3 linked regions of the Arabidopsis thaliana genome follow. The protein of the gene in region 1 interacts with the protein of each later gene in a biochemical or structural test. Each region holds a gene or a part of one and is shown on either strand. Other genes may lie near its edges.

Evidence for each region.
Region 2: the proteins of PEX19-1 (region 1) and PEX10 form a complex in vitro, tested with the Arabidopsis thaliana proteins (one study listed by BioGRID).
Region 3: the proteins of PEX19-1 (region 1) and ABCD1 form a complex in vitro, tested with the Arabidopsis thaliana proteins (one study listed by BioGRID).

Annotation. Positions count from the first base shown.
Region 1 is NC_003074.8:829,616-838,979, reverse strand, and holds PEX19-1 (peroxin 19-1), read left to right. Parts: upstream 1-6,982; 5' UTR 6,983-7,220; coding exon 7,221-7,263; intron 7,264-7,421; coding exon 7,422-7,464; intron 7,465-7,597; coding exon 7,598-7,895; intron 7,896-8,215; coding exon 8,216-8,532; intron 8,533-8,632; coding exon 8,633-8,678; 3' UTR 8,679-8,864; downstream 8,865-9,364. Other genes in the region: NPC3 (non-specific phospholipase C3), read left to right, coding at 1-302, 416-586, 662-1,008; AT3G03510 (Phototropic-responsive NPH3 family protein), read right to left, coding at 1,273-2,640; AT3G03500 (TatD related DNase), read right to left, coding at 4,630-4,749, 4,824-4,937, 5,016-5,169, 5,237-5,388, 5,579-5,660, 5,762-5,835, 5,929-6,051; CHAT (acetyl CoA:(Z)-3-hexen-1-ol acetyltransferase), read left to right, coding at 9,117-9,364.
Region 2 is NC_003071.7:11,216,939-11,227,410, forward strand, and holds PEX10 (peroxin 10), read right to left. Parts: upstream 3,570-10,472; 5' UTR 3,478-3,569; coding exon 3,297-3,477; intron 3,199-3,296; coding exon 3,167-3,198; exon of another isoform or gene 3,092-3,166; coding exon 3,002-3,091; intron 2,920-3,001; coding exon 2,825-2,919; intron 2,746-2,824; coding exon 2,556-2,745; intron 2,462-2,555; coding exon 2,392-2,461; intron 2,322-2,391; coding exon 2,243-2,321; intron 2,154-2,242; coding exon 2,020-2,153; intron 1,769-2,019; coding exon 1,674-1,768; coding exon of another isoform or gene 1,659-1,673; exon of another isoform or gene 1,593-1,658; coding exon of another isoform or gene 1,581-1,592; exon of another isoform or gene 1,255-1,580; coding exon 1,178-1,254; intron 932-1,177; coding exon 829-931; 3' UTR 501-828; downstream 1-500. Other genes in the region: AT2G26340 (uncharacterized protein), read left to right, coding at 8-53; AT2G26360 (Mitochondrial substrate carrier family protein), read right to left, coding at 4,665-4,988, 5,063-5,296, 5,383-5,461, 5,543-5,661, 5,745-5,850, 5,921-6,222; AT2G26370 (MD-2-related lipid recognition domain-containing protein), read left to right, coding at 7,698-7,797, 8,466-8,585, 8,672-8,847, 8,989-9,114; AT2G26380 (Leucine-rich repeat (LRR) family protein), read right to left, coding at 9,677-10,472. UniProt on the Arabidopsis thaliana protein: E3 ubiquitin-protein ligase component of a retrotranslocation channel required for peroxisome organization by mediating export of the PEX5 receptor from peroxisomes to the cytosol, thereby promoting PEX5 recycling.
Region 3 is NC_003075.7:18,483,395-18,493,507, reverse strand, and holds the start of ABCD1 (peroxisomal ABC transporter 1), read right to left. Parts: upstream 5,075-10,113; 5' UTR 4,739-5,074; exon of another isoform or gene 4,372-4,738; 5' UTR 4,289-4,371; coding exon 4,227-4,288; intron 4,134-4,226; coding exon 3,848-4,133; intron 3,547-3,847; coding exon 3,322-3,546; intron 3,187-3,321; coding exon 2,989-3,186; intron 2,853-2,988; coding exon 2,398-2,852; intron 2,306-2,397; coding exon 2,170-2,305; intron 2,095-2,169; coding exon 2,016-2,094; intron 1,531-2,015; coding exon 1,292-1,530; intron 1,202-1,291; coding exon 897-1,201; intron 816-896; coding exon 704-815; intron 627-703; coding exon 471-626; intron 192-470; coding exon 92-191; intron 13-91; coding exon 1-12. Other genes in the region: AT4G39840 (cell wall integrity/stress response component-like protein), read right to left, coding at 6,885-8,240. UniProt on the Arabidopsis thaliana protein: Contributes to the transport of fatty acids and their derivatives (acyl CoAs) across the peroxisomal membrane. Provides acetate to the glyoxylate cycle in developing seedlings.

The sequences.
Region 1 (9,364 bases):
GTACTTCAAGATTTTGTCGGCTCCAGCTAATGATGACCATCCCAAAAACGACGTCGTTGAAGGCCAAAATCTAGTCAAAGAAATCTACGAAGCCTTAAGAGCTAGTCCTCAGTGGAACGAGATTCTCTTCGTTGTTGTTTATGATGAACATGGTGGTTATTATGACCACGTCCCTACTCCAGTCATTGGTGTCCCAAATCCTGATGGTCTAGTTGGACCTGAGCCCTATAACTTTAAGTTTGACCGGCTTGGTGTTAGGGTTCCTGCTTTGCTAATCTCGCCTTGGATCGAACCTGGAACGGGTACGTATGTTTTGAATTGGAACCGAGTTGTGTTAGTTTAGACTTTAGTGTGGTATTGTCATGTTGGTCAAAACCGGTTATAATAATTTACTGGTGATGACATTATTTTTTAGTGTTACACGAGCCAAATGGACCAGAGCCAACGTCGCAGTTCGAACATTCATCAATTCCGGCAACACTGAAGAAAATATTCAACCTCAAGAGCTTTCTTACAAAGCGTGACGAATGGGCTGGAACACTCGATGCTGTCATCAACCGGACCAGCCCAAGGACGGACTGCCCCGGTAAAATATATAGTTGGTTATATAGTCCATATTAAACGCAATATATGTTTAATGAGTTTTTGGATTATTACACAGTCACATTACCGGAACTTCCTAGGGCAAGAGACATAGACATTGGAACACAAGAAGAAGACGAAGATCTCACTGATTTTCAAATCGAACTGATTCAAGCAGCGGCTGTACTAAAAGGAGATCATATCAAAGACATTTACCCGTTTAAGCTCGCAGATAAAATGAAGGTTTTGGATGCGGCTAGGTACGTAGAAGAAGCTTTCACTAGATTCCATGGTGAGTCCAAGAAGGCTAAAGAAGAAGGCCGTGATGAGCATGAGATCGTTGATCTTTCTAAAGGATCTACTCGTCACTCGACTCCTAAGTCTTTTGTTCAGAAGTTATTCTCGTGTTTGATTTGTGATAATTGATCTTGAGTTGAAACAGATTTGATCTCTGTGAGATTTGGTGTATTTCTCGGATTTTATGTGAAGAGCGTTTGAAATTTGATATTTGTTTGTTTTCCAAATTTTATGTTTTACATTTCCGAATGAGGTTCATTAGGAGAGGTACCTCCGCGAAAAACAGAGTATTTTAACGAAGGGTTCAACAAAACAGAGCAAAAACAGAACAGAACAGAGGAATTTAAATTGAACAAAAAGCAAATTCTAACAAAACAAAAGAGTGATCCTTTGTTATTTGTAGCTATGATAAGTCTTCCTCTTCTTGATATGACAACTGCAAGCATCCATGGTAGAAGAAGTCATACAACCAAACTTCCTCTTTACTTCTCTCCACACACTTGTCTTCTTCTTCTCGCAATGAACAACACATTCAAGATTCTCAATCTTTCTTTTCTTCATGTAATCAGGTTCTATCTCGAGCTTTAACAACTTCTTACTCATACTCTCCACTTCATCTACTTGATTTTCTGTTCTCTCCACTACACCTTTCATTTCTCTAGCCACCTTATCCCGAATCTGCATCTGAGAAACAAACAAAACTTGCATAACAATCCTCAATGGAAGCTTCTCGTTCTTTGAAGCATGTTCACAAGCCTCGGGTGAAAGTTTCTTACAATGAAGAAACCTACAAGCTTCCATCTTCTCCGATTCAATCAAGTCTCTATGCCTCTCCAAGTAAACATCAATCGCTCTGTATATTCCATCAGAGTAACTCAGCACATCACAAGACGCAGCAACTGCAATTTCTGCTAGTTCCTTGAATGTTCCTACCCTTAAACCAGCATCACTCGCAGCAGCCTCCAACAGAAACTCTTCCAACATTCTCGCTACACTCACAAACCGCGAAAGATCCGGGACACTATCGTTACTATAGAAGCTCTTGAGAATGGTTTTCAAGAGCTCGATGTCATAAGATCCATCTTCTGTTGGTGACAGAATCTGGAGATCTTTTGCTCTAGCCATGTCAAGCTGGTTACTTATCCTAACTTCAAACCCTTTTCGGCAATCAGAGCAAGCACCAAGAAAAATCGATTCTTTCAGCGATTTGAACAGAAATCCAGACGAGATTGTTCCTCTTTGGTGAGGCAAAAGCCTCTCAACAGCTTCAATTCCTTCTCTCTTGTTTCTTGAAACGCTTCCGTCTCCCGAATCTTTCTCGAAAACCCATCTATTCGCGTAATTGCAGACAGAGGCCACAAGGTTTTCTAACGAGACATTGTGCTTACTCACTTCTAGAATCAATGGTTCATATAACCGAAGTGGTAATGTAATCAAATCTTGGAGCAACCTAGTATCGTTGAGAGCCTTTTCGATAAGAGAATCTAAGAAAACTTCGATGAGTCCAACATTAGCTAGTTTGTCCAAAATCTTATCGCTGCAGATACAAAGAGCTTTCACGGTCTCACTCCAGCTCATAAGAACTCGTTGTTCCAAGAACGTAACTGCCTTGTTCAACAAGTTGTTAGAGCTATGATCATCGCTCATCTCTAGGTAATAAGCAATGCATAACACAGAGACGATATTGTCAGCTGATAATTCGATTTTGTATCCATAACAGAATCTAGTCACGAGGTGGAAGATACTTGGGTTGATGTCCATGTCTCTGATGATCCAACGCAGTTCATGGAGCTTGTTACTCTCGAGTAATGTCGTCACTTTCGCCGATCTCTTAGCTAAAGTCTCCTAACCAAACACCAACACCAAATATCGAAACCCTCGAAATCAGAAGAAACCACAAAAAGAGATAAATCTCAGCGAAATCGGATTCAAAAGCTTACTTTGTTAAGATGAAAATGAACGCCTTTCACATAGAGGTCAAGATCTTGTGACTTTGAATTTCTACAAACGATTAACATTAGGTTTAATACATATTTCACAGAAAATTAACACGAAATGGAAGAGATTAAGAGTTTTACTGGTTCGATGGGTTCTTCGAATATCTATTTGACATTTTGTACTAGCCTTTCTACTGAATGAATAGATTGTATATGTTTGCGAACACTAGTTTGTGGTTGTAACTTGTTGTCCAAGGAACAGAAGCTTGTGTTTGACGGGGTTCTGCAACCAGAGAACAAGAAGACAAAAAGCATTCCTCAATACTGAAGATTAAATCAAAAGTTAAAAGGAAAAAAAAGAGATAAAAAGAGACGTTAGAAGAAAGAGTGTGGTTCTTGCTGAGATTTAGGAATTATTGTTATGATATTGTGGGATTTCTCAAAGAAAATGTAAAATATCGAAACGCTTCCTTTAGCGATATGACTGGGTAAATTATAAATAAATCTTATTCAATAAAATATATTTATAAAAAAATACAGGACTAAAAACCTTTTGACTGAATAATACAAGATGACTGGGTAAATTATTAATAAATCATATTCTACTATTACTAATTTTTTTAATTAACGAAAAGGAAATAAAAGATTATAAAAAATAAAATAACGAAATGACAAATTCAATGTTCGGCCACAACAACATAAACCAAACAACCTCCGGTTTAGTTGATAGCAGATGCCACTATGCTAGCAACTTGAAGAATTCTAACATCAGTAAGGCCAAATTTTGAAGTGGCTAACTTTTGCACCACTAGATAATTAAGGCCAAATTTTAAATTTTATGAAGCTATCTAAATCAAAATTTTACCAATGTGAAAATTTTATTACTAATTTGAATTTCATTTAACACATTAATCAAATCAATTTTTCTATCAAAGTTGTTTTTAATACTTACAACATCTCACTCAATTCTCGTTGAGTACTGACAAGGAGCAACGCGATAGAATCATGATTTGGCTTTGCCTACAGAAAGCAAAAGAAATCAAGAATTCGAAACATTACCAGAAAACTTCAAAGGTTTTTTTTTTACTTACATCAATCGATCCACCGGTCATTGTGTAATCTATTGAGAGGACTGGCTGTATCTTCCGCAGAGAGCAACAGAGAGCATCATTGCTGGCTTGGAACGAGAGAAAGGTCTCGAGTCTATCTCTAAGGCAACCAAAAGCTTAGCTATGATGAAGACATCTCTCTCTTTGCCTATGAATGGAGAATACAACAAATAATATATATAATGCGATGGAGATTTCTAATCTTTGCTTCTCTTCTCCCAAAGAGAAATAGATGAGAAAGATTGTTGACTTTGCTTTCTGTTGGTCTTCGTTTCTCTCTCGAAGAAGAAAGAAGAAGAAGGTGAATAGAGACTTATGATTTCTCAAGAATGAAGAAGAAGATTGTAGAGTGTTAGTGTTTAGTTCTGTTCTTCTGGTAATCTGTGTTTTTTTTAATGTAAATTACACAAGTATGCAAAACTTTTGTAAGGGGCTACTGTTATATGATGTAATGGGATTTATAAGAAAAAATGTAAAAATCAAACATCATAACTGGGTTTACACAAGACAATAAGAAGAAGATACAATGTATCTGATACATAGTTACAACTTCTACCAAGTAAGCAACAGAAACAACATAATTTTGGTATTGAATGAGTTTTTCTTTTGCAAGTATTAACACACAACAGCAGAAACAGAAGATGATTGTTCTTTTGTCTCTTTGATCAGAGATGATGGTACAATTCTGTTGAGAGACACCATTTTTACTGGTCTGTAAGCAATTTGGAACCTGGATAAGAAAACAACCTCACAGAATTCACATAACTTAACTCCGCAAGCTCTTCCTTCTTCATGTTTGACAGGTTCGCAACATAATCTAGTACCTATTCATCACGGAAAAGATTAGACAAGTAATGAGCTGAAATAAGCAAAAAGTCAGATGATGATAAGAACATACAGCAAGAATGTTTGCAGGCTCATTGAGAGTTGGTTTTGGATCCGAAGAACTCTCATCTGATTTTGGTAACCCGTCAGGTGAATCCGTCTCCAATAAGAGCCTATCGGAAGGAATCTTTACCAGACCAGGTAAAAAGAATTCAATACATTCGTTTTCCAGAAGTTTGTATAATTACAGAGGAAAAAAGCAAACCGATTTCAAAGTCTTCTTGGCAATTTTCTCATCAATGTAAGTGAACCAGCCAGAAAAAGAGAAGTATGCACCAAGCTCAGCGAGTTTAGGAACAACTTCAGCTGAACCATTGAATGAATGAAGAATCACCCCAGCAGGAAAAGGCCCTATGGATCTGCGTGTATTTATTTTGAGAAACTTAGTGCTATATCTTTGTAAATGCAACATGTAGATATACATACCTCATTATCTCTAGGAGATCATCAAATGCATCGATGCAATGAACTGCTACTGGTTTGTTCAGTTCTTTTGCAAGTTCAAGCTGTGGGCGAAACACGACTAGCTGGTCTGAGTAATCAATTCCTCCTGCTAAGGGACCTTTGTCTAAACCAATCTGCAAAACACACATTAAATTTTATGAAGATGTTAATCTAATGAGATCTCAGCCAAAAGGGGTTTCATTACAACATATCATTTTGCAGTTTACACTAAATCTTGAACCAACAAAGCAAACATTTCAGAATTCAAAAAGAAATTGAAGACAAAGATTTTAGTTTAGATGAATAAGTGATAAAGACACAAACTTCTCCAACAGCAGCAGTAGGAGTGGTCTCAAAGAACTTCTTCAATGTTTTAAACCAATGAGGGCTTCTATCAGCAATAAACCTGCAAACCAAAACAGAGAAAAGAAAAAGAAGAAACTTTGATCTGAAACTTTTGTGCATCAATTGCAAAAAGGATCGTCTGTACATAAAACCCATATATACCAAGGATGGAGTCCAAAGCAAGGAACAACAGAAGGATACGTCTCTCCCATCTCTTTCACCAAGTTCCAATCTTTCTGGCTCCATTAACAAAACCTCTTAAAAATATGTATACGTTTGTGTAATATAGATGACAGTGACCAAGCGATCATGAAAATTTGGGAACAAACCTCGGAGGTTCCATTGACTGCGAAATTGGTAACACCGACAGCTAAAGCAGCAGATATGAGCTGCGAGGCTTTGTCGATGACCCTCTTGTCTTGGAGGTGACAATGAGCATCAAACAACTTCATTTTCACCGTGAGGTTCTTGGTTCTAACAGATCCCTGTGACTTCTTTCTTCTCTTTGAGGTTCTTAAAGTATATGGAGATATATATATATAGATAGGTTATGTACCTGTGTTTATAGCTTAACCCTAAAGATATGGTTTGATCATATGATCAACACAAAGAGTTGACTTTTGAGATAGTTTGAGGTTTAAGAGACGCTACAAAACTCTGATCTGGATTTACTTGAACTTGAAGAGTAAAATGACTAACCTTTGTGTTTAATAGATTATCTACAGTAAACAAATACTTTTCGTATTAACCTAACTTGTGTCAGATTAGAGTAAGGAATAAAAATAAGAGTTATCTCTATCTGTGATATTATTAAGAACAAAGAGTACAAGTCATATGTTTTGTCAAACGCACATACAAAGGCAGGCATGTCTTGGTTTCTAGACCACCTGAAGACCAAAAATAGATGAAATGTGTACAAGATAATAGAAGTGTTACCTGTCTGAAGACAGAGTCAATGAAGGCAGAAACATCTTCTTAGCTGACATTTTCTTCAGTTACTCCAGAATAATTGGAAGCAAGATTGAAGTAACACATTGTTGGCATTGAAGTTTCGACCAAATAAAGATTCGAATCGCTTTAGTCACACTTGTGTAAGCTTTGTTCTGTTTTCATCTGAGCAAGGGCATGAACCACATTCTGAAGCTCCTCCCATATGGCTTCTTTATACATCATCCTTCGACTGTTCACTGATGATTTCCCCTTGAACGCCGCTGATACCACCTTAATGCTGCATCAGAATTCTGATTTATAGTTTGGTTAGCTTGTTCTTCTCTTCTGTTTCTGTTGCAAAATTTGATCAATTTTTTTTGAAAAATCTTTTTTTTTCCTTTTGGAAAAATAAATAAAATAAAAACAAAGTGATCTCAGCCGTTGGGTCGAGTACTTTGGCTAAAAATAAAGTGATCTCAGCCGTTGGATCGTGTACTTTGGCTTCACCGCAACTAAAAGAAGCGTCATCATATAAATCAATCGCACCGTCTGTGTCGAAACAAGGCAAACCCAAAAGAGGTTTCTTCTTCTGTCAAATCTTTCTCTCCTCTCTCTCTCTGATATTCTTCGTCGTCCCATCTGCGAATTGTTTACACAGAGATATAGAGAGGAAGAGAACCGCCTAAGGAAAATGGCGAACAGTCACACCGATGACTTGGACGAGCTTCTCGATAGTAAGTCTTCTCTACAATTTGATCGGCGTTTTCTCGAATTCTATCTAAATTGTGTTCCTGCCCATTTATCATGTTTGTTTAAAGGTTTTGTCTTTTAGGGTTTTTATTGATTCTCTGAGAATTTTGGGGTTTATCTTCTGTGGTTTTGTCTGTCTCAGGTGCATTGGATGATTTCAAAGATCTCAATCTTTCTCATCAAAGGTTACTCCTTTTTCCTATGTGTTTACCTCCATAGTCTCAAACTTTTTTGGATTTGAGTTTAGAGACTTTCAATTCCCAAGTTAGAGATTTCTGTGTTTTAGCTCTGAATCGTTTTTGGGATGTGTTGTTGTAGAAATCAAAGGGAAGCTCAAGAGGAGGAGGAAAAGAAGAGGAAAGAAGAGACGGTTTTATTACCGAGTGGAGTTCAAGGTCTTGGAATGGGATTACCAGATATGAGAAGCAAGAAGAGAGGAAAACAAAAGGTTTCCAAAGAGGATCATGTTGCTGAAGCTCTTGATAAGCTTAGGGAACAAACTAGGGAAACTGTCAAAGGATTGGAATCCATTTCTTCTAAGCAGCTGCCTGCTTCTGATGATGATGGAATGGTTGAGGATTTTCTCAAACAATTCGAGGATCTTGCTGGATCTAAGGTAATATACCGTGAAACTGAATCTGTCTCTACTTAATTGAATTGAAACTCGAAAGTTTAGTCTTTCGATCATCAGTTGAAAATATTATGCTGTCTTTTACTGTACTACAAGTAGATTTTAGTAGAACATTCTGCTGGATGATGTTTCATTGCGGAACCGATCTGTGAGTTCTTCTATTGTATCTTCAAGGTTATGAGTTCATAGAACTGGTCGCTGATTGATTAGAATTTGTTCTTTATGCTATGTTAAGGTTATATAGAGCTCATTATCTACTTGGTATTTGTCGCTCTGTTGACTCTCATCTTGTTTTTGCATACTAGGACTTGGAATCAATAGTCGAGACGATGATGCAACAGCTATTGTCGAAGGATATTCTCCACGAACCAATGAAGGAGCTTGGCGCAAGATATCCGAAATGGCTAAAAGAGAATGAAGCCAGTCTAAGCAAAGAAGACTACAAACGATATTCACAACAGTACAAACTAATAGAAGAACTCAATGCAGTGTACGAGAATGAACCTAACAATTCATCTAAGATAATGGAGATCATGCAAAAGATGCAGGAATGTGGACAACCCCCGAGTGATATAGTTAAAGAGATTGATCCCGGGTTTGATTTCGCAAGTCTTGGCCAAATGTGAGTTCCTCTTTCCTCCTCTGTATCTCATTTTCTCAATTGGGTTTGGATCTCCCTTACCTGAAAATGAACCAATGTTTCATGTTTATTTTATCTACAGATCCCCAGAGATGCTGGAGTCCTCGCCAAATTGCTGTATCATGTGATGGGGCCAAACAGCTTCAAGAATTATATGTCGTTTGTTTTTCTCTTGTGTTATAAAACTCAAAAGCTCTGTTTCAATTATGATTGGAATTTCACACACACAAAAAGCCTTACGATGATAATAGCCAATCACACAATATCATTCTTCCCAACTGAATACACATCTTTAAAAATAAGTTAAGCCAAAGCGTTCCTTTGCACCTTTTATTTTGATTAGTGGAAAAAAAAAAAATCGTGTCTACATGGAGTATTGATGTGTTTACCTATATCTATTGTTTAAGGTTAATACATTCTAGAGTCGAGACAAAAGAAATCTCATAATAGTATAATACCAAACTAACACACGTAAAATGTGCAATACTATATAACTACGTATATATATGTATGTGTGGTGAAGACAGTATCTCGTACGTGTGATTCTATCTTCAAAGTATCAAAGTATGGACCATCAAGTGTCTCTGCCACAATCTACCACCACTGGTCTTTCTTTCAAGGTGCATCGCCAGCAGCGGGAGCTAGTCACTCCGGCTAAACCAACGCCACGAGAGCTCAAGCCTCTCTCCGACATAGACGACCAACAAGGACTAAGATTTCAAATTCCAGTTATTTTTTTCTATAGACCTAACCTTTCAAGTGATCTTGATCCGGTCCAGGTGATAAAGAAAGCCCTCGCCGATGCGCTGGTTTA
Region 2 (10,472 bases), on another chromosome or scaffold:
GATTAAGGTGTCGTTCGTTTGATCAGTTGACTGATGCATCTAGATGCAGATGATAACTGATGTTCGTTTGAACACAATATAACAGAATAGTTTGATACATCAGTTGGCTGAGTTTATAAAACTCATTCAAAAAAATTAAAATATTTAGCTGACTTTGATCGGTGCATCTAGATGCATCAGCTGCAGTCAAAAATGGTAAATCTCTAAAATACTCCTTTAAAATTTGAAGAATTACACTAAAATAAATATATGTCCTTTTTAGTCATTTGGTACATTATGCATTCAGATGCAGATGCACATTGTTAAAAAACAATTCAAACGAACACATCTGCATTCAAATGATTCATCCAGATGCACTATCAACTTCAGAAACGAACATCATCCAAATGATGCATCTGAATGGATCTTCTGGATGGATCACCCAGAGGCACTACCTAACTGATTAAACGAACAACACCTAACATTTTAAAATGGTATTGTGCCTAATATGAGATTTTCTTGTCTTGTAATAGATCTCCAATTGAGATTATTATATGTAATATAGAATGTGAAAGACCACCTAACATCTCCAACTCTTTTTAATGAAATGTAAAACAACAAACCTCTGTGGTTTCTGCACTAAATATCATAGAGAAAAAGGTAGGCATGGGATCGAGAATGATGTCAGAAATATATTTATTCTGTCTTCTCTCATAACTTGTTGATCTTACTCAAAAAGTCTGAAGCCGAAGCAGATTCCATTCCTGTAGCAGATGCACTGTCCTTAGGTGTCACTGTCTTAGCTGCTTTGCCTTTCTGCAGTGCCTGTCTTTGTTGATCCCATTGTGCCTAAAAATCAGAATGATACAAACAAACCAAACTTGAATGGGTATTGGGCGTTCGACAAAGAGGGCATTCTTGCTTCTCGTTGCACCATTCCATAATGCAGCTCCTGCACATGACAACATGACTTTCAAAATGAGCACAATGTTCCGGTGTCAACTTTTGGATCTTAGGTTTTGTAGTTCGAGTAAATGTTCGATACAAAGTTCATCTTATCAAAAGCAGTTTCAACCAATGGACATCAAGATATTGAAATTCTCTGGATTCTGAAACTTATCAAGGTTTGTAGGTGTTAACTCGTTCCAGATCAGGCCCAGGACAAAATAAGCAATTACGGTAGAGGAAGGTTTATTACCAACAAAACACATGACCACAAGGAGTGGCCGTTGGGTGCTGACGGGTGCTTAAGCAGAGAGTGCATTTCCCTACTGCCTGCAATCGAAGTACATAGCAAGGTAAACACCTAACATAACAAGTGGTAACATATTGATTTCATCAAAACGAGAGAAAAATAAACCCCTCTGGAGTTTTTTTAAATTTAGAATAGTCTCAAAATAGGATTAACATATAACCTTGTCTCGCTAGAAACTATATGTAGAGCGGGATCAGTCGAGTGGCCATCTACTCTTATCAGATACTCATACCAACAGAGTAAACTATCATTTTGGTTTTCTTAATCACACTTATACAACATAACCTTTGCGTAAGAGCATAATACATTTTGCTCAGAGTTATGTGCCTCTCTTCCAAGTATATTATTACCTATTGTCCTTTCCCAATAATGATCACTATTCAAGATATTAGCCATTACAAAGTAACAGAAGTTTCTAACTTATTTATAAATATTTTACCTCCGTTGAAGTTGAATCGGAGGTAGACCAGTTTCCCTTTTCAGCTTCCGAAGTTATCAAATTCCCCTCTTCATTTAAAACAGGTAAACCTCTCCCTGCAAGAACAATACCAAAACTATATTACTGTAATGTGAAATAGGGTGATGCATAACAAGCAGAATATTTCAGCCTATGTTATCTTCTCTCATGTATCTTTCTAACAAACTTTTACCATGATGCCAATTTAGACCATAGTTTATTGAAACTATAGTACTGACAATCTAACATATATATCCTCCACAAATATCCGTAATGTTGGGAAATTCTAGATTATTAACATTCATAATCAAGGACATGAGAGCCAGACCTCCTGAAGTTTGATAAGATCCTATAGAAGCCTGCTGAATGGAGCTAGTGATAGATGACAAATTACTCCGACGCAAGCCCTCAGCAGCAAGGATGCACAATTGGATTAGAAGGAAAACCCCAAGAATTTGGTATCTGCTCAACAAGACTTAAGGGAGTTCAGTTACTCTGTGATAGTAAAAGTCAAGAGTTGCAAGTGTAAAAGAAGACAAAAAAATCATTACCTAGGTCTCTGATTCAGTTGCTTTCCTATGAAAACATAACGAACCCCGGATGCACGTTTCGATATATGATAATAAAAACCTGAAAAGAAACAAAGGTTACTAGTTCAGAACATGCTCTACATGAGTTAAATATTTCTCACAAAATTCACCTTCAAAGTAGAAGAGCATCAGATTGGCACGCAAAACCAGTTGTAAGACTTCGCGGGCAACAGGAAGAACCTAAAAGGCACAAAACCTTGTATAAAACAACATTTGCTACGCAGAAAACAAGTGAACGAACCATGGAAAATTAAACGTGAGGGGTATACATTACCACAGGCCATCGCTGAATAGCTCGGTGCCACGATCTCATAAGTCTATCGTTTAACCTAGATACTACAGAAGTTGAAGTTTCAACTTGAGATGAAGATGGAAGATCTATCATTCTTGGTGAGTGGATATGACTATCACCAAAAAACTCATCAGACTCATCAAAGGTGACTGCTTGCGTAGCAGCTCGAGTGCTGTAGACAATTATATCAATATCAGCGGACAAGATTCAAATTTTTCTTTGTAAAACAACAATAAGAAATGCGACGAAACCTAATTCTCTCTGCGATATATGGAACTGCGGTCTGGTACAATATGAACAAAGCACGTCTAGCTGGTGTAGGAGAGAGTCCATAAGGCCCTGCAACCTATATTATATCATTCTACATCAGAAGGTAAAATGGTTTTGTAGAAGCACACTTAAGGAAGATTGTATAAAGTAACAAAAACCTGTATAATGTCACAATATTCCTCTCCTAAAGTTTGTTGCCCTGAACCTGTCGTAAGAACATAGTAAAGCATCTGTCCAAGTAGCTTCATCTATCCAAAAACAATAAAAACAAATAATCAAAAATCTCATGGAAACTCAGACAAATATAATTTAGTGTATATTACCTCCTTCTGGTAAGCAAGAGCGATTCTTGTACCTAAGAGTGATAAAAATTAGTTATTAATTGGACAATAACGATGAAGCAATTAAAGTAGACAGTTGTTGTTGTTTGGTTTGGTGTCGGAAAAATTGTACCGAAAAGGTGTCGGAAGGCATCGCGGCAAGCTTCGTGGATGAAAGAAGCGTATTGATCGTCTTTCTCAGCAGCTCTCATAATCTCCGGCTGAGCTGCTAACGGGAATCGTCTGATTCCGCCGTGAAACCCGCTCGAACCGGGTTCATCCTGACCCGGACCCGAATCCCCATTAAGCCTCATCGTTTCTTTTTTTTCGTGGATCGATGAACTTGCCGAATGATGTTTTTTATTCGGCCTTTGATATTTTTTTTTAATTCAAAGGAAAAATAAATATTTGCAAATGTATCGATGCCATTTATATATGAGATCAATAATATTTTATTAATTATAATCTTTTTAATTATTTTTATGATCAAATATTTGTCTATATTAAGCAGTATTTTGTAATAGTCAATCGATTCGGGTGAGCTGATTAGTTTTTTAGAATACATGATGTTAAGTAAATTATGTTAAAAATAAATCCGAGCAAAGTGTTTCCATAATTAAATTATTAAAGGAGATATTAACCTTGACGAAAACTTTCTCTCTTCTCTCTCAAAAACTTTTGAGAGAGAGAGTTTGTTTTTTTGGTAAAGTCCGATCGTGATCTCATATGCATGTTCTATCCTCGCCGTCCGGTTTATCCGGCTCCTGTCCAGCATCGACTAGCTTCTAAAGTAGTGTTGGCTGGCTTATGTCTGGCGATTTGCCGTCTTGTTTACGGTGTCTTCGGCCAGTTTTGGGTTTGTTAAGTTTTTTTGTTTCAATAATCTCATTAGATCTGAGTTGGTGATGATGTTTTAGGTGTTGTGTCACTTAAAGAATGGATTTCTCCGACTTGTTTCTTTTGAGCTTTTGGTTTGCAGAAATCTTTCCAGAGACATAAGGAAAGAAGAATCTTTCGAAGCATATTATGATTGCCTTAAAGCTGTTAGTTTCTTTTTGGAGTTTCGATTAGCTTAGCAACGGTGACAAACAAAGGATTCAACGACCGATTATATTTCGGCGATAATCTTCTCACCGAAATCGATGCTCAACGGCGAAGGTTGATGTCGGAAATCTTTCGATTACTCATCCAGCATGTGTCGTGGTTGTATCCAGTTGCTGACACGTGGGCTTAGGTGGAGTACAAACAAATTTTCTTATGCAGTATGCGGTTATCCGATAGGCTCTTGTTGGGCCTCAAATATTTCTGTAAACTTTTCGTGGGGCTTTTAGTGTAGCCCGTGTATGATCGGGTTACGTTTAATACAATACTACACTTGAGAAAAAAAAAAAGAAGTAAATTATGTTATTTTTGTAGAATATATTTTTTTTTCTCAAGATTTAGAATACATAAACATGAAATAAATTATTATAACACAAAATGTTGGTCTAGTTTTCCAATCTTACTCACTATGCACTGATTGATTCAGAGGTGTGATCATAGCCTTTTGAAGAAGTTCATAGCCAGCTAAGTTCAAGGCTCCGAGAGGAGCAGTCCAGAAAAACCTTGGAACAGCTCCTTTGTAGAAAGCAAGAGGACCCTCATGTGTGAGAATTGAATAAGCAGCCATCAACATCGACAATTCCACGCCTTGTGGAGCCGTCATCATTCTTGTTTTAATCACATCGAATGGCGTTGTTAAAACTGCAGTGAAACCACCGGACAAGGCTCCAACCGCGATGGCTTCCCACGGCTCCAACTCTCTTCCTAATTGTCTCTCCACCACCTGTGAAACTCAATCGCAACCACGTCTTATTAATTACACAAAGACATGTCATTGTTCTGTTCTATCATGATTACCTTCTTTGATTGGTTGTAAAGTCCCATGCCAGCAACGTAGAAGGGAACCTCACGTAGAAGGGTAACACCGGTCCCACGAAAGAGTCCTTTGAGCCCTTCTTGATGCCAAGTCGAAACTGTAGCTTCCACTATGTTATCAAACTGGTTGGCTTGTAACCGTTGTTTCAACACTTCACACGGTATTCGCAACGTTGTCCCCAATACCGTACCAATAAAAGACGCGATTGACTGAACCTAAAATAATCAAGAAGCAAAAAAATTCAAAGAACGAAACATTATGTAGCAATAAAGTTGGCAATGAGCTTTTTACAATTACTAACTTGAATATCAAGAAGAGTAGGAGCAACGAGCGGTAACGCAAGTTTACTTGCTTCATATATACTTGTTCGTAAACCATGACTGAAAAATGTTTAAACAAGAGATGAAATCATGATAATGCTTATAACCAATAACCACAAGGCAAAGCATAAGAGATGAAACCTAGCAAATTGACCAACAACAGCCGGAATCGAGCCTTTGTATAAACCTCGAGCACCAATCTCTGGAATCTTTGACAATATTTCGAGAAACGACAATGTAGTTGATGCTTGAACTTGTGTCTTAATGATCCAAGACAAATGTAAGTAATCAGAACAATCTCATAAACACAAAAGAAGAACCTGAAATGAAATTACCATTATACCTTGACAGTATCCACTGGATGCATCAAAAAAGCAGAGAAAGCACATGAGATTCCTCCAGCTAATGCAGATTTAAGAAGATGACCAACATCTAATCCAACTCTTGTCCTAACAAAACATGTAGTTTAGACACAAATGTTTTAAAGAAAAACAGTATCTACAAGGTTCTTGTCCTCACCCAGTATCAAAGTTCTTGCCTTTAGCAACAGCTTCATTGATCAATGGAGCAATTTCATTGGATCTTGAAGTAAAATTTCCAACTTTTGCAAAATTTAAGCTAACTATAAAGCTACACGCATCTGAATTCGATTTTCTACGGAAACAAGAGTCAAGCTTTTGAGAATTTAGAAACAACAAATCATTGAGAATAGAGAGAAGGAGAGATTCAGGTGATACATGTTTCCTCTTCGGAGCTTTATTCACCATTGTTGATTTCAGTGGATCTGTGGATAAACCTTGAAAACTAACTCTGTTCTTCATCCGTCATTAGAGGAAAACAGAAGAGTGATTTAAGTGAGATTAGTCAACGTTTGATCCAAATAGTGGTTTTGATTATCGAATTAAGCCATTTTTGTTAGTCTTTGTTTAAAGTATTAGTAATTTAGTATACAACAACAACGCATATGAGGTGTTCGACGAAATGACTGTGTTAAAACAAATTGAGATGTGGGACTGAAACAAAACTAGAGGTAACTATTTTAACCAAAGATGTCAAAATGAGTAACCTTACCCAAACCCACATGGATTTGAGATTTTAATAGACGAGTTTGACCCAACCCATGTATTTATATAAGTTGAATTTATATACTCAAATCCACAACCATAAAATTTATTGGTTTAATTGGTTATATTGATATCTAGATAAAAATAAAAGAAAAATTTATAAGTAATAAAAATCTAAAAAACATATTATAATAAAACCAAGAAAAAATTTCAGTAACAAATTAAAAAATATCTAGATATTAAAAAAAAAAAACATCTTAAAATCCTAAAGTCCTAAAACCACAAATCCAAAAAAACACAAAATCATATATATATATATCATAAAACATGTTATTCATGCCTACTATTTTTATAGTCTATTAGATTAAAATATTTTGCTTAATTAGTGGACCGAATCAAAGTAATATCCAGATATATTTATATGCTTCGTTAAAAGCGAGATTTTAGAATATGACTTTAGATGTCATTTGTATTTTTAACCAAAATATAAATAAAATGTCATTGGTATTGCCAACTATGACCAAATTCTTCAATTCACAGGCATGTGTGAGTTCATGTCGAAGAAATTAAAGATTCACCTATTTAACCGGTGGTGCATCTCAAAGTGGGGAAACAAAAACCTCTAATAATGAAAGTATTTGCCAGGTTGTGTTTAGCTTCGACCATGTGGTTCGGGTATGGTTTATTTTATTTTATTACTATTTCATCTTATCTCAAAAATAAGATTTGTATGCCATGTTGCGTTAACGTTGACCATTTAGTTCCCCAGTATATGGTTTAAGCGCAATGTATATCTATGCATACATTTTTGTTTTTTCGGTTTGTGATCGGTTTTAAATTTTGTATGATGCTAATAACAGTTGTGTTTTGGAAATCACGCCGAACCAACAGACATGGTCGCAGTCAAACAACTCCATCTTTGGGATTTTTTTTTATCTAAAAGAATTCACGTCCTTGTATATAAAAGGTGGTAATATTTGAAATATTGAGATTTCAGGCAACACTCATTTTTTTAAGATTCTCACGTATAAATTAGGATTATATCATATAGGAATAAGTATAACGTGGAAGATTATTATATAGGGATGAATCATCCACTAGTTAAGCAGAATATTATATTATATAGACTATATAAAATACTAGGCATGAATGAATTTAAGCATACGTATTACAGACTTGTTTGTCAAAACAAAACAGGCATTAATCTTTTTTATCTTTCGAAGATATAACCCATGGCGATATCTCACGCCCAACCTGTTCTGCTTCTCCTATCATCACTCTATTTCTTATCTGCTTTTGGCGCCGGCGCATACAATTTTGAAAACTGCAAAAGTAAGTATCGTTTTTGTTAAGTCTTATATTGTTATATAGAACATCAATTCTTGTTACTTGATAAGTCAATTCAATGAAAAGAATATGCCTGAATTTCATAGATTGTGGTTTGCTCCTATCTCTGTTTTTTGTTTTACCAAATAAATCTTGAACCGGAACTCACATTAGTCGTCAATTCCATAAAACAGAAATAGAGTATTTTGCTACTGTGAAAACGTTTATATAGAAAGAACAGATCAATGAAACTATGAAAGTACTCCCATCTATAAAATAACCCAATAATTGTGAAGTATTCACCGAAGACTTTTTTCTTTTTTTTTTCCTTCAGTGTGGTTTTCGAGAGCCGTGGTGTATAAGTCAAGAACTGAGTATTATAACTAAAATATTGCAGGTCCAGAGTTCCTCCAATATTCAAAGATAGATCAAACAATTTGAAATCTGATCGAAATTTAAAATAGATTTATCTTTTGTTAATCCTACAAATAAATAAATAAAGAAACACTTACCCCTATGACCCTATCATTTGACATACCAAATTTCCAAATAAAGAAATTTAGGATTTATTTTTGTAAGAAATTAGGATGTAGATCCAAGTTTTTTTTTTACCTGCCATGACTTACTGATAACTTCTACAATTGTTAACATGCTCTAAATCGGTGCGACTAAAGATGCACCTATTGACTACAATTACGGTATTACGAACGTCACACGTGTGGAGATCTCTCCATACCCTGTTGGGCCTTACGACGAGCCAACCATTACCATATCCGGCTTTACAAGTGATGATAGTACGTAATATTTTCTATTCTTTTAATTGTTTTCATTTATAGTTTCCAATATCTTATCTTGTAAGAAAATATATTTGTGTTTACAGGCTACATCATCTATAGAGCAACTATACATGTGTTGTATAAATATGAAAATGTGAATAGCACTATAATAAATTACGACCTCAGTGATGTGATGGGTGAGGATCCATGCTCTATTGAACCTGGCGAAAAATTTGTGTTAACTCTTTCCAAAGTTCCTGGTTTGCAGTCACTCCCTCATGTAAGTATTTTTTATTTTAATTTTTGGACAAACGGTTTCACTTTGATAAATGTATTTTAAAACCGAACAATCTAAAAACCACAATAGTATATTTACTTGGTTTGCCTGACGGTTTTTTTTTTCTTTCTTTAAACTAATTAGAAGGATAAGTCCAAGATTGTCATATCCCTTGTTGATGAATATGGTGATGACGCTGAAGTGCCACTGCTAAAAATGTGTGTTGAGTTCGATAACCCTGCTCCAACTACAACATCGGTCTCTGCTTGATTAAATCCAATTGGCTTATGGAAATATGTTTTCAATTCTTCATATGACACTCCCGTATTACTTGCATTTTTTTTTCCCTTTTCGTGTTGTTCAACAAATAAAAGAAATATTGAATTTATAGTTTTATACGACTCTCTCGTTAATTACTAGCATCCTTTTTATATTTCAGTAACTATATAGAAAAAAATTCTAACGCATTTGCTAAAAATAAGCTACAACAACAAATCTCTAGCTATGTTTTTATCGCAAATAAGCTACAACAACATAATAAGCTACATTTGCACATGAATAAACGATGCACGAATCTGTCTCACCTTGTTTTATACGTATAGAGCGCACTTGTTTTCTAGAAACTTTTCCATTATAATTGATTAGTTCAGAAAAAAATTAGAAGATTTGAAGGTGTTGTGTGGCGATATTCATATACCAAAATCAGTAACACAAAATCAGTAAATAAAGGAACTTAAAGAGAATACGAAAATTAAACAAAGACAAAAGAAGAATATGGAACTTGTGACACATGAAGTTCAAAAACAATATAACATGACGATGAATGAATCCATTAACCTTTACAATGACTTAGCGGGGAGCCGCATAGACAGTCGTTGCCGGCAAACACACTTTCTGGAAACTTTGTCACCGGAAGTTTCCCACAAAGATGGTTTTGACTCAAGTTAAGTGTCTTTAATCCGGCCACCCTCGCCGGCACTTTCCCGAACACTAAGTTCCTTGATAGATCAAGCGTCTCGAGCGTCGTCGAGAAACTTAGCTTCCTCAAATCGAATCGGAGTTTGTTCCCCGACATTCGAAACTCCCGTAGTTGCTCTGCTCCCTTCAAGAACCTCAGTGGACTCCCTGAGATCTCGTTGTCCGAAAGATCAATGGAAACGTAGAGATCAGTTTGCCTTGTTTTCCAATCGTCTAAGCTCATCTTGATTCCACATTTAGCCAACTTCAAAGAGCCGAGGATCGACGCTGAGGTCACCCATTCCGGGATTGTTTCCATGTGAAACTTGTTGTACGACAGATCTAGAGTCAAGATGTAATTCTTCACGTTCAAAACAGGGAATGGATTGGTTAGAAGATTGTGAGAGAGATTGATATTAGCAATTTTAGTCAGCTTGGCCAAACTCTTCGGCACGGCTCCAGAGAAACGGTTCTTGGAGAGATCCAGTGTGTCGAGCGCCACGAATCTTGATAAATAGCTCGGTATCGACCCCGAGAGATTGTTCTGACCTAGCTCAAGGAACGCAAGAACCGGCGCGAGCGATGCAATCGACGGAGGGAGCTTCCCGGAGAATCTGTTGCGTGAGAGAGTGAGGATTCGAAGGTTAGTCATTGATTTGAAAATATCCGGG
Region 3 (10,113 bases), on another chromosome or scaffold:
TCACAGTGGTCCCTGCAAAAATCATGGTTGCTTGTTAGAAAAGGAACCCTATCAATAAAACTGATCAAGTAACAATATGGAGTATGTTTACCATTCAAAGAGGCTATTCGGTCAGAGATCAGCGTTCTTGAGACGACAAGGCAAGCAACAGCAAGCAGTTGAGCTCCTTGCTTGTCAAATATAGTGGGTATCTGAAATGTAACAATGAAGTGGTCAGTTATTTTGAGAAGTATAATATCAATATTAGCATCAGCGCAGGACGAATAAGTTAGCCAAGTGGAAATGCAAAACAAAAGGTGGGGTTTCCAAGGAAGCTAAAGAAATGCACTGAAATGCCAAGCTGAGGAGAATGGAAGAGAAAAAGGTGGATATATGAATGCAGCTGCAAAAAGCATGTGTATTGATATCTAAGTTAAGAATGATTGGTACAGCTATCTACAATAAAATTCACACTAGTAACTCAAGCTCACCAACACGTTTAACATTGCAGCTACTCTTGATGGTAAAGCCCTTTGGGATGTTTGAGGTTGAGGAAAACGAGGCAACACTACACTTTTATCTACAACAGGTGATCTTGCAATTAACTGTGTCTGGTACGACTGAGCCTTTGAATTAGTAGCAGATTCCTACAAAGCACCGAGTAACCAGGTTAGAACCATCGTCAACGAAAATTATAATAAACAAATAAAACTTCGGCTGAGACCTTTCTAGCTGCAGCAAACGCTCGTTGAACAACCATCGCATCATTTTGCCGATCTGTATCTGAACTTTTCACTGAATCAATTTCAGCATCCGTCAGAAGGGCAGAGTCATCCCTGAAGGTTTAGTCATTTTAATAAGTAAATAAAAATAAACTTTAATAATTCTCACAAACATGGCTAAGAAACAATCCCAACCTCTTGTAATGAACACTCCATCCTCCTTCACCGTCTAATGACAGAACAACATCATGGAATGCAACAAGCGCTGGACGATGGGAGATTGTTATGCAAGAAGTTCCCATAGCTCGAACCTTAGCGGCAAAGCGTTCTTCCATATCAGTTGTGACAGCACTTGTGCATTCATCTAGAATTGCAAATTTGGGTTTGTGGTAGAATAGTCTGGCCATACCCAATCTCTGTTGCTCTCCAAGAGATAATTCATCACCCCAATTAACCTCTTTTTCAGGTTGGTAGCGATCCAATAAATATTCTAGATCAACCTACAAGCAAAAGTCCACAAAAATAAGCGTAACATACAAAACACTAACTTAAACCATCCTAGTATAGAATAGAGAAACAAGGATACTGACATTTTTCAATAGCTCCACCATTCCAATCTCAGTGAGCAGTTCACTCTCTTGGCCAGAAGTAAGAGGATATATTAACTGGTCACGAAGTGTTCCTACTGCCATATAAGGCCGTTGCGGCACATAGAAGATCTCCTTGTTAAGATCAGAACCAACTCCTGGCTTCACAATATGTCCAGACACCAGGGGCCATAGACCTCCTAATACTCGGAAAAGGGAACTCTTGCCACTTCCATTAGGACCTACGATACATATTGTTGAGCAAATAATGATATATCAGGTAAGCAGAAATCAAAATTTCGAATCTAGATGTTATTGCTTAATCAATATAACATAAAATGAAAACCCAGAAAGCCAAAAATAGTCCAGTAAATCAACCCCAGAAGATGATGTGTTGCCAGCATTCCACTAACACCCTAGTCGTTGAGCTGGATATGAATGGTTCGTCAATAACTAGGCATACCAAATCTAATTTTGACAAGTTTATAGTGCTATCCCTTCCAGAATACAAGAAGAATTAATTCTTTCAGAATAGTATTTCAAATTCACATTCCCATTTTTTTGCACTTCATAAGGACAACAAGGGGTACTGAGATTTTCATCTTTGCTACTCATCTCAAGGACCATAGAACTAAACAGTAGTGGTATACGCTTTACTGTGCAAAAAAAAAAAGCAATGAAAAGGGAAATTGATAGTCATATTATGTTCTAGATATAAAGCGTTCACCTGTAATCAGAAGATTAGACCCTTGCTCAACTCGAAGGGTGAGATCCTCCACCAAAACATTTCCGGTTGGAGTAACAACCTAGAGTGTGTTAAGAAACATTAAGAACACGACATTTTGGAAAGGATTACAGTAACATGAATCTATTCCAACTACCTTGACATCGGAAAACTCTACATAATTAGCTTCACTTAGATAATTTCTGCTTCTATTTCTCTGGAAAGACGATTTATCATCACCACTGAGTTCTCTTGAGACAGCCATCAACTCATGGATTCGGTCAGCATAACCACTGCCGGAAGCAACAACATTCCAATAATTAGAAACAGCTAAACAGTATTCACCATTTAAGCGTCTGACATGAGATCCAACATAAAGCATTACCTGAGTCGGTTGAGCCGCCTGGAACTTATAGAAAGTGTTCCCAACGCCTGAAAGAGAGATATAATGACACTAGTGTGATATCTTATATTGCTAAGCATCTCAGCTCTTCCTAAGGTCGAGTCGTCAGGTCTTAGATGCCCAGAGAAGAATGGTTCGATAATCAGAATAACTGCAACTGTGGCCCCAAGATACTTCAGCAGAAAATCTTGGATCATACCAAACCACCAGTGATCATGAAGCACGTGACTCATATGGCTAACAAGATTCTTGAACTTTTGTTGTATATGAGATTCTTCCCTGGTTTCCCCACCATAGAATGCTATGCTTTCCGAATGAGTCCTTAAGCGTGAATGAAGTTGCCGGTACTCTCCTTCTAACTGCTGTTCCTTGGACATCAATTTCCCAAAAGAAGGAGAAAAGTTTCTTATCGCCGTCCCAGCCCCCAGTACATAGGCCTACACAACAATTGTATAGGTTAGTTTATAGATACCAGACCGAAAGAATTGTACTGTGAACGGATACAAGGAAAAGCAGCATAAATGGCCCAACATAAGGTCAATCTTGAAGTATAGAAGATTAAACATGAATCACCAGTATCCAGAAGATGTATTTTGGACTAGCATATGAACACAGGCGCCATGCATACAAAATTCCATCAGTAACCGCCGTCAAATCATCCAGTATAAGATCGCTCAACTCTGAGGAGAATCTTGGTACATCGCTGGCAATTCTTTGTTCAGGGTGCGTAATCCGACCATCCACGTGTGATATTTTGTAATATACCATATTCTGAAAACAACAATTAAAACTGAGTGAAGAGATATCCAGCAGTCTGAAGTATACTCGATACTCTCACTAGTCAAAAACACTCGTATCTAAAGAAATAGTAAACAATTGAATGGCAGAAGAGATGGCAGTTGCTACCTCAAAATAGTGTGAATGGATAATCTTGGTCAATATCTTTCTGAATCGCAAACTCAATGCCCCAGTTATGTACTTTGAAGTAGAGTGCAATGTTGATAGCATGAAACACAACATAATATTCTCGGAGATGAGCCGTAGAAACAGTGGCGCACGCCTTAAGAAAGCAGCACGGAAAAGGAAACCTTGCACTTTTGCCAATCTATTGCTCAAAGCTGTTCTGAAAACCTACAAGTTATAGAATAACAGATTGGAAAGAGTACTAGTCCCGCATAAGTAAGAGAAGTAACCAGACTTTTCCCGACTATTGGCCGTAAAGTTAGATTGGTGTTTCTTTCAGCTAAAAAGAGAGACACCCGGTATTCCATAACAATAAAGCAACGGTTCGCAATTGTGAATTTCCATGAATATCTACAGGACTTTGCAACAGCACGAGATCAAACTTAAACAACCAGACAGAAAATCTATCTGACTTGGGCAAAAACATAAAACAAAAGTAAAAACTTATTAATTAAGAGGAAATGCATACCACGGTGGCGACTAGTGCCAAAAGATCCCTGGCACCCATTTTTCCCATCTGAGAGAGAAGAATAGCAGTCAGAACCTGAAGAGACTTCAATCCTCCTCCTTTCTTCTTTTTCGTGGTTATCTTTGCATTTTGATCAGTTGCAGTCAGCTTTTCCAAAGTCTCATCATCATCACTCTGACCATTGCAAAGACGCGAAGAATCAGGCCTCCGGGAAGCGACCCTTGATTTCAGGTAAACAGCAGTTCCACCAGCAGCTACAATCCCAGCCGCAAGCAGTATAGATTTCCTAAAGAATGAAACAGAGAAAGATGAAATCTGAGCCCAAACGAACAAAAAAAACTTCCATCTAGAATACAATGAAGAGCAAGGAAATGGTTACCGTCTTGACGCTACAAGACCCCGACCCCGCTCAGTTAACTGCAATAGTTGAAGTGAAGGCATGGCCTGGAATTGAGTATATTTTCCAACCAACGATTAATCAGAACCAAAACTGGTTTCTTCTTGACAACAAGTGTCCAAAACACCTGAAGTAATACCAAAACTCCAAGGTTATGAATATTAGAACAACCAAATTATAACAAATCTAAAGCAAAGAAAAAAAACGTGTAACCGTTGAAATTAATGCAAAAAATGTGAATTACGCCTAAAGTAAGATTCTCACACTTTTGGATCAAGAAGAAAAACAATGAAAATGATTCATGTATAGTAACACGCGTAATTAGAATCCTAACACAGACAAAAATTGTTTAACAACCCAGCAAATTTGATCCTGATTACATACATAAGAAAGCGCAAAATCTAGATTCGTAAATCAAAAAACAAAACAAACCGATAAAAGCTTAGACAATTGCAAAAAAGCTTATGCAATTAAACAAATCCATGACGAATTACCTCAGCATGAGAGATTCGACCAAGGAGTGTCTCCGGGAGGGATAAACGAAACAGAAGCTAAATATAAAAAAAAAACTCGAGAAATCGGAAATCGTAACAACAACAACAACCACTTAGCTAGAATTCTAGACCATGTGAATCTCAACGCCGAGGAAATTAATTCCGACTACGCCACCAACGGCAACGAGACGTACTAGTCCACCGTGACGGAACTCCCCCAAATCGAGAGATAGAGATAGAGAGAGAGAGAGAGAACGAGAGAAAGTGAGAGCCGAAACTTGGGAAGAGGAGAAGATGATGACGCTTATTTTACACGTGCGAACATATTCACTCGTGCCATTTTTTACTTTTCTTCTATTTTTATACCATCTTCTTGTCTAGTACTAATTGATTTCGTTACGAATGCTATCAGATATTTTTACCTTATTTTTTAGATTTTTTACTCAGGTAACTCTAGCCACCGTTTCATTCTCGTTAAAAAAAATGTTAACGCTGTACTGTAAAAATAAATAAAATATCTTAGCCTAGTTGGTAATGTATCAAACTATCAATTGTTTCTTTTTTCTTATTAAAAAACTTGGTACTAAAACCATGTATAGACAGATTTATTTCCTTTATGTATAATTTGAATACAAATAGTACTATGTATAGAAGTGTCGAGTCCTATGGACATACACTGCTATCCTTCCATTGGTAAGTTTGTTTTTTCTAATTGAGGAAATTGTGATTGGTCTGTAAACTTAAATATATGATAGACATATTAGCAATAAAATCATGGATTGTTATTTCATGTTTGGAAAAAAAGTTGAAATTCAAACACGATAATATACAAGGACATTTGAAATTTGCACGAATTATTGAGTCATCAGATATGTGAAATAAAATGGTTGTTAAAGATTGTTCACTAAAAGAGTTTAATTTGGTAAAGTTAAAAGTCAATACTTTTCACAAATTGATATTTAAGGTGTGAATTTTGTGAAGTGGGAAAAGTGCAAATTGTACACCGCATGATTGAAGCACACAAATCAATGTTGTGATACTGTGATGTCTTCCTACTTTGTTTCTGATAAGTACATATTACATCACTCCTTTCGCCCAACACAATCCGTATACTAAACCAAAATGGGCCTTAACTTGATTGAAACCCAATACAAAAAAATGTTATGGGCATTTTTGTTCACGGGTCTTTAAACTGGTTGATCTGGTGAATTATCACAGCACACAATAAATTTAGGAATTCACAATTGAATAATGTACATGTGATACCAAAAGTTGAATGAAACGTTTTTATACAAGTGCCGAGTTTCTAAGTGACAAGATTGACAAAATAAGTAGGCTATTTATGACATTTGGGCATTGCCTACATTTAGAAACTTTTTCCTCGATTTTTTTATTTGGCTAATTGTGCTTATAAATTTCTATCGTCGTGATAGTTGTGCATGTAATTTCTATGATTTGACAAAAAAAAAAAATAATAATAAAATTGTAAAATAGATTCAAAGTTGGAGGAACTCTATTTTCAGTTTCATAATACACACGTCACGTCATAAAGTTAAAACAACATTCCGGCACAATATGAGGTGAGGTGATGGGCCTTGAGAAATGAGTGGCCCATACAACAACACGTTAGGACACAAAAGCCCCATTTTTCTCACCATACGCCCCACACTCAATCGCCAATCCACCGACACAAGTCAATAAAACACTACAGCACCCAGTTCCGTCGGTAACTCCTTCAATGACCGAAATGCCCCATCCTCACGAAAGTCGTCGACTCTACGATTCCGTAGACCCCACCTTATTTAATTTTTGACTTCTCATATTTTTTTTATTTCAAACAGAAACATTTAATTTTCGCGGTTATCAAGAAAAACATTTAATTAATTCATTCTTCTCGCCGTCCACATTTCACAACATATTTGTAATTTTTACAAAGAAAAAAAAGAGACAATTATAATGAGATTATGAAATTTTATTCCACATTTATCGATTTATTATAAATACAATTGAAGTTTTTAAAAAAAGTTTCCAACCATCCACCAGTAATTGTTCTTTCTATTGCATTTCTCAGCTAAAATTTTGCCGAATTTTTCAAAATTTAAAATATAAAAATACAAAGATAGAGAAGAATAAAATAAAGAAAATTTCAATTTTTCTTCCCTTCGTCACCGCCTTCTTCCAAGTACTCTTTCTTCCTCCTCTCAGCATTAGATAACAGACAAATCAAAAGGAAACACGTGGCATACACACCGTGTATCTTCCAGTTCGTCTTCGGAGGCTGACGAAGCACCACCCTATGAAACACCGCCACGTAATAATGCAGACCTACAGCAAAGCCCACAAAGGTCTGCGCCAAGCCCAATACCTTAAGGCCCAAACCACAATCCGTGGAGAAGACGAGAACGAGGTACATGAGAAGAAGCAAGAGGTAGAAGACGTAGCCTAGGGTTTGCAGGATCTGCAAGCAAACGTATGTTGAGCTCGATGTTGCGTAGAGAAACTTGAGTGGTTCGATTCCGGTGACGAGCGATGAGAGGCATAGGATTGAGAAGTAGATCGAGAGGTAGATTTGGATGAAGATTAGGATCTTCTGGAGTGAGAAATAAGCTTTGAATCTGTTGAAAATGAGTGAGACTAAGAGTAGAGGGACGAGGATGAAGACGAAAGAGACTACGGAAGCTATGGTTGGTGCGTATTTGTTGCCGAAATAGGGTTTGAAGTTTTTGGTGATCTGTTTGTTGGCTTTGTTGATGTAGTTTTTGGATGTTGTTGAGATTCGCTCTAGGTCTGGGATTAGGGATCTTTGGAATCTTGTTGGTAGATCTCTGAATTCGCTTACGAAATCTTCGTCTTCTTCGTCGTCTAGCCAGAATGGTTTGATTTCTTTCTCGGATTGTTTCGATTTGGTCACTGGTTTTGAGGAGGGTTGTGATTTCTTCTCTGATGGAGGTGAAGAAAGTTTGGAACTTGGGGGTTTTATGGTGGTTTTGTTTTTGGATGAGCTTGATTTGGACAGATCTGCTGATTTCTTGATCGAAGAAGTAGAATTTGTGGATTTTGTTCCGGAATTGAGCTTCTTGAGCTCAGAGCTGGTCTTGGTTGTGTTAGAAGAAGATTTTGTGGAGTTAAGTTTGTGAGACGTACCCATGGTGGTGGTCTTGGCGAGTTTAGTTTGGTTCTTGGTGGAAGAAGAAGAAGAGATGGGTTTAAGGAGCTTGGTTTGATTCTTCTTAGTACCAGATGATGATGATGATGATGAAACAGAATCAGTAAGAAGCTTCTTCTTCTTAGGAGGAGGAGGAAGATTGGTTTCATCATCATCACCAGTTGAATCCAGATCTTTCACCAACAATCTTCTCACTCGGAAATGAGGATCTATTCGTTGTAGCTCATGATCATCAACTGATGAGGCAAAGAAAGAAGAAGAAGAGAATAGGAAGAGACTGGAATAGAGCAACAACAAGAGTACCTTTCTAAAACACAAGTACTTGAGTGGAGACATTACTTTGCTCTGAAACCTAGGAATCCCCTCACTGTTTCAGACAGATCTAGCGAACAGAGATCGCAAGCTTGTCAATATATAGGAAAAGAGAAAGAGAGAGAGAGAGAAGCATTAGTGACAGTGTGCATATGTGTTTATATATGAGTGTTTGTGTGTGTGTGAACGATAAGAGAGAAGATGGAGACCAGAGAATTTACTAATTCAGTCCCTTTGATAATATCAATGTACTTACTACTGTTTAACCGCACCGTCATGTTGCAGATTCTCTGCTACTTGTCTAATTTTTTATATGATTCTGCATTTTTTTGTATTTATGTGATTGTTTGTATTTGGTAGGTGATAAGTAAAAAAAAAATGAATTGTTGGAAAGTTTCATTGTACGTGAGTAGTAGTAAAAAAACAATAGCAATCATTTGCGAGATCTAAAATTAGAAAAGTCGTTTTCTTATAAATAAATATAGAAGAGACATTTTTGTGTATGTGTAACTAAATTTTCATACGCTATTATTATGTGAAAAAACAAAAGGAATTTAAGCATAACTACTCCCACAACTTCTATCTGATTTGGTTTAATGGTGATCCCATTGTCGAGAGACAAAAGGCTATCTTTCCACTTAAAATATTACAACTATATATTTAGTTTGATTTCTAGATTAATATTGTATCTAGTTTTGTATGTGCAGCTACCATATTGAATAAGTACATTGATCCGATAACGACCTCGTTAAAATGGGAGTCTATTCAATCGAATGATCTAATCATCTAAAATGGTATTTGTCACTTCTGTTTAATACTAATAATTTGTCTCTATTTTTACGTGTTTAGCGAATCTATAGTATGAATGTATGATAATGCAAACTACTCGTAAATTAAATAAATACAAACATGAAAAAGGAAATAAAGAAAAAGGATAAGAATTTAATGCAAAAGTGAGAAAGTTGAGATCACAGATCACTCACATGGAGGACCAAAAACGACACTTTTTTTTTGCTTTCTTTTCTGTTCTTTCTCAACGCGCTTTCATTGTTTTTGCTCATGTGCTTAGTAAATACGAATAAATCTATTTGTATCCTCGCGTAATTTAATAATTATACGTTTATTAATAACTGACTAGTTGCAAGTTCGTTAATAATATGACTAATTGTATGTTTGTAAACACTATATATATATATATATACAGATTACTTCAATGTGTTAATTGTATGTTTGTAAACTATACTTAGTGATGATTATGCACTTAACAGTAACTTGAGTATTGTGGAGATACTCACATGGCCCGTATTAACTCGACTTTGACGAATGTGTTGAATAATGAAAAAATATATTGCTTGTATCCCACTCATATGTAGTGCTGCAAGTATATTCAAGTTTATGGTTATATATGTATTTTGCTTGGAGACTCGATTAATTACCCAAATTATCAAATACTGCAAGACTTAAGAATTGTAATACCAAAAAAGTTTAATTTATAACACGTAATTCTCTAATGAGTCGCTGTCTTTTTGTTTGGGCACTTAACACTTTCTCCCCCATGTATCCCAAGTCAACGATCAACGACTTTTGACTCCACCACTTTTTGACTAATGGGTTTAGTAAAAAAGTGAAAGTCATGTCAAGTTAATAGTGCGATATAAACTGACAAATAATTAGGACATTTGTAGATAGACATTTCATATAATACAATGATCATAGTATAACTATGAAAGAAATGTAATTAATCGATTGGTAAAGTAGCTTTTTATCAAAAAATAATACTACTAGTAAATGAAAATCTGATTCTTTGACCAAGGTCTTTGATCTAAAATACAGTGTATACAAAAGTGGGAACAAATCCCAAAATGTGAATATGGACTTTGGACTCAGGGGTGATAAT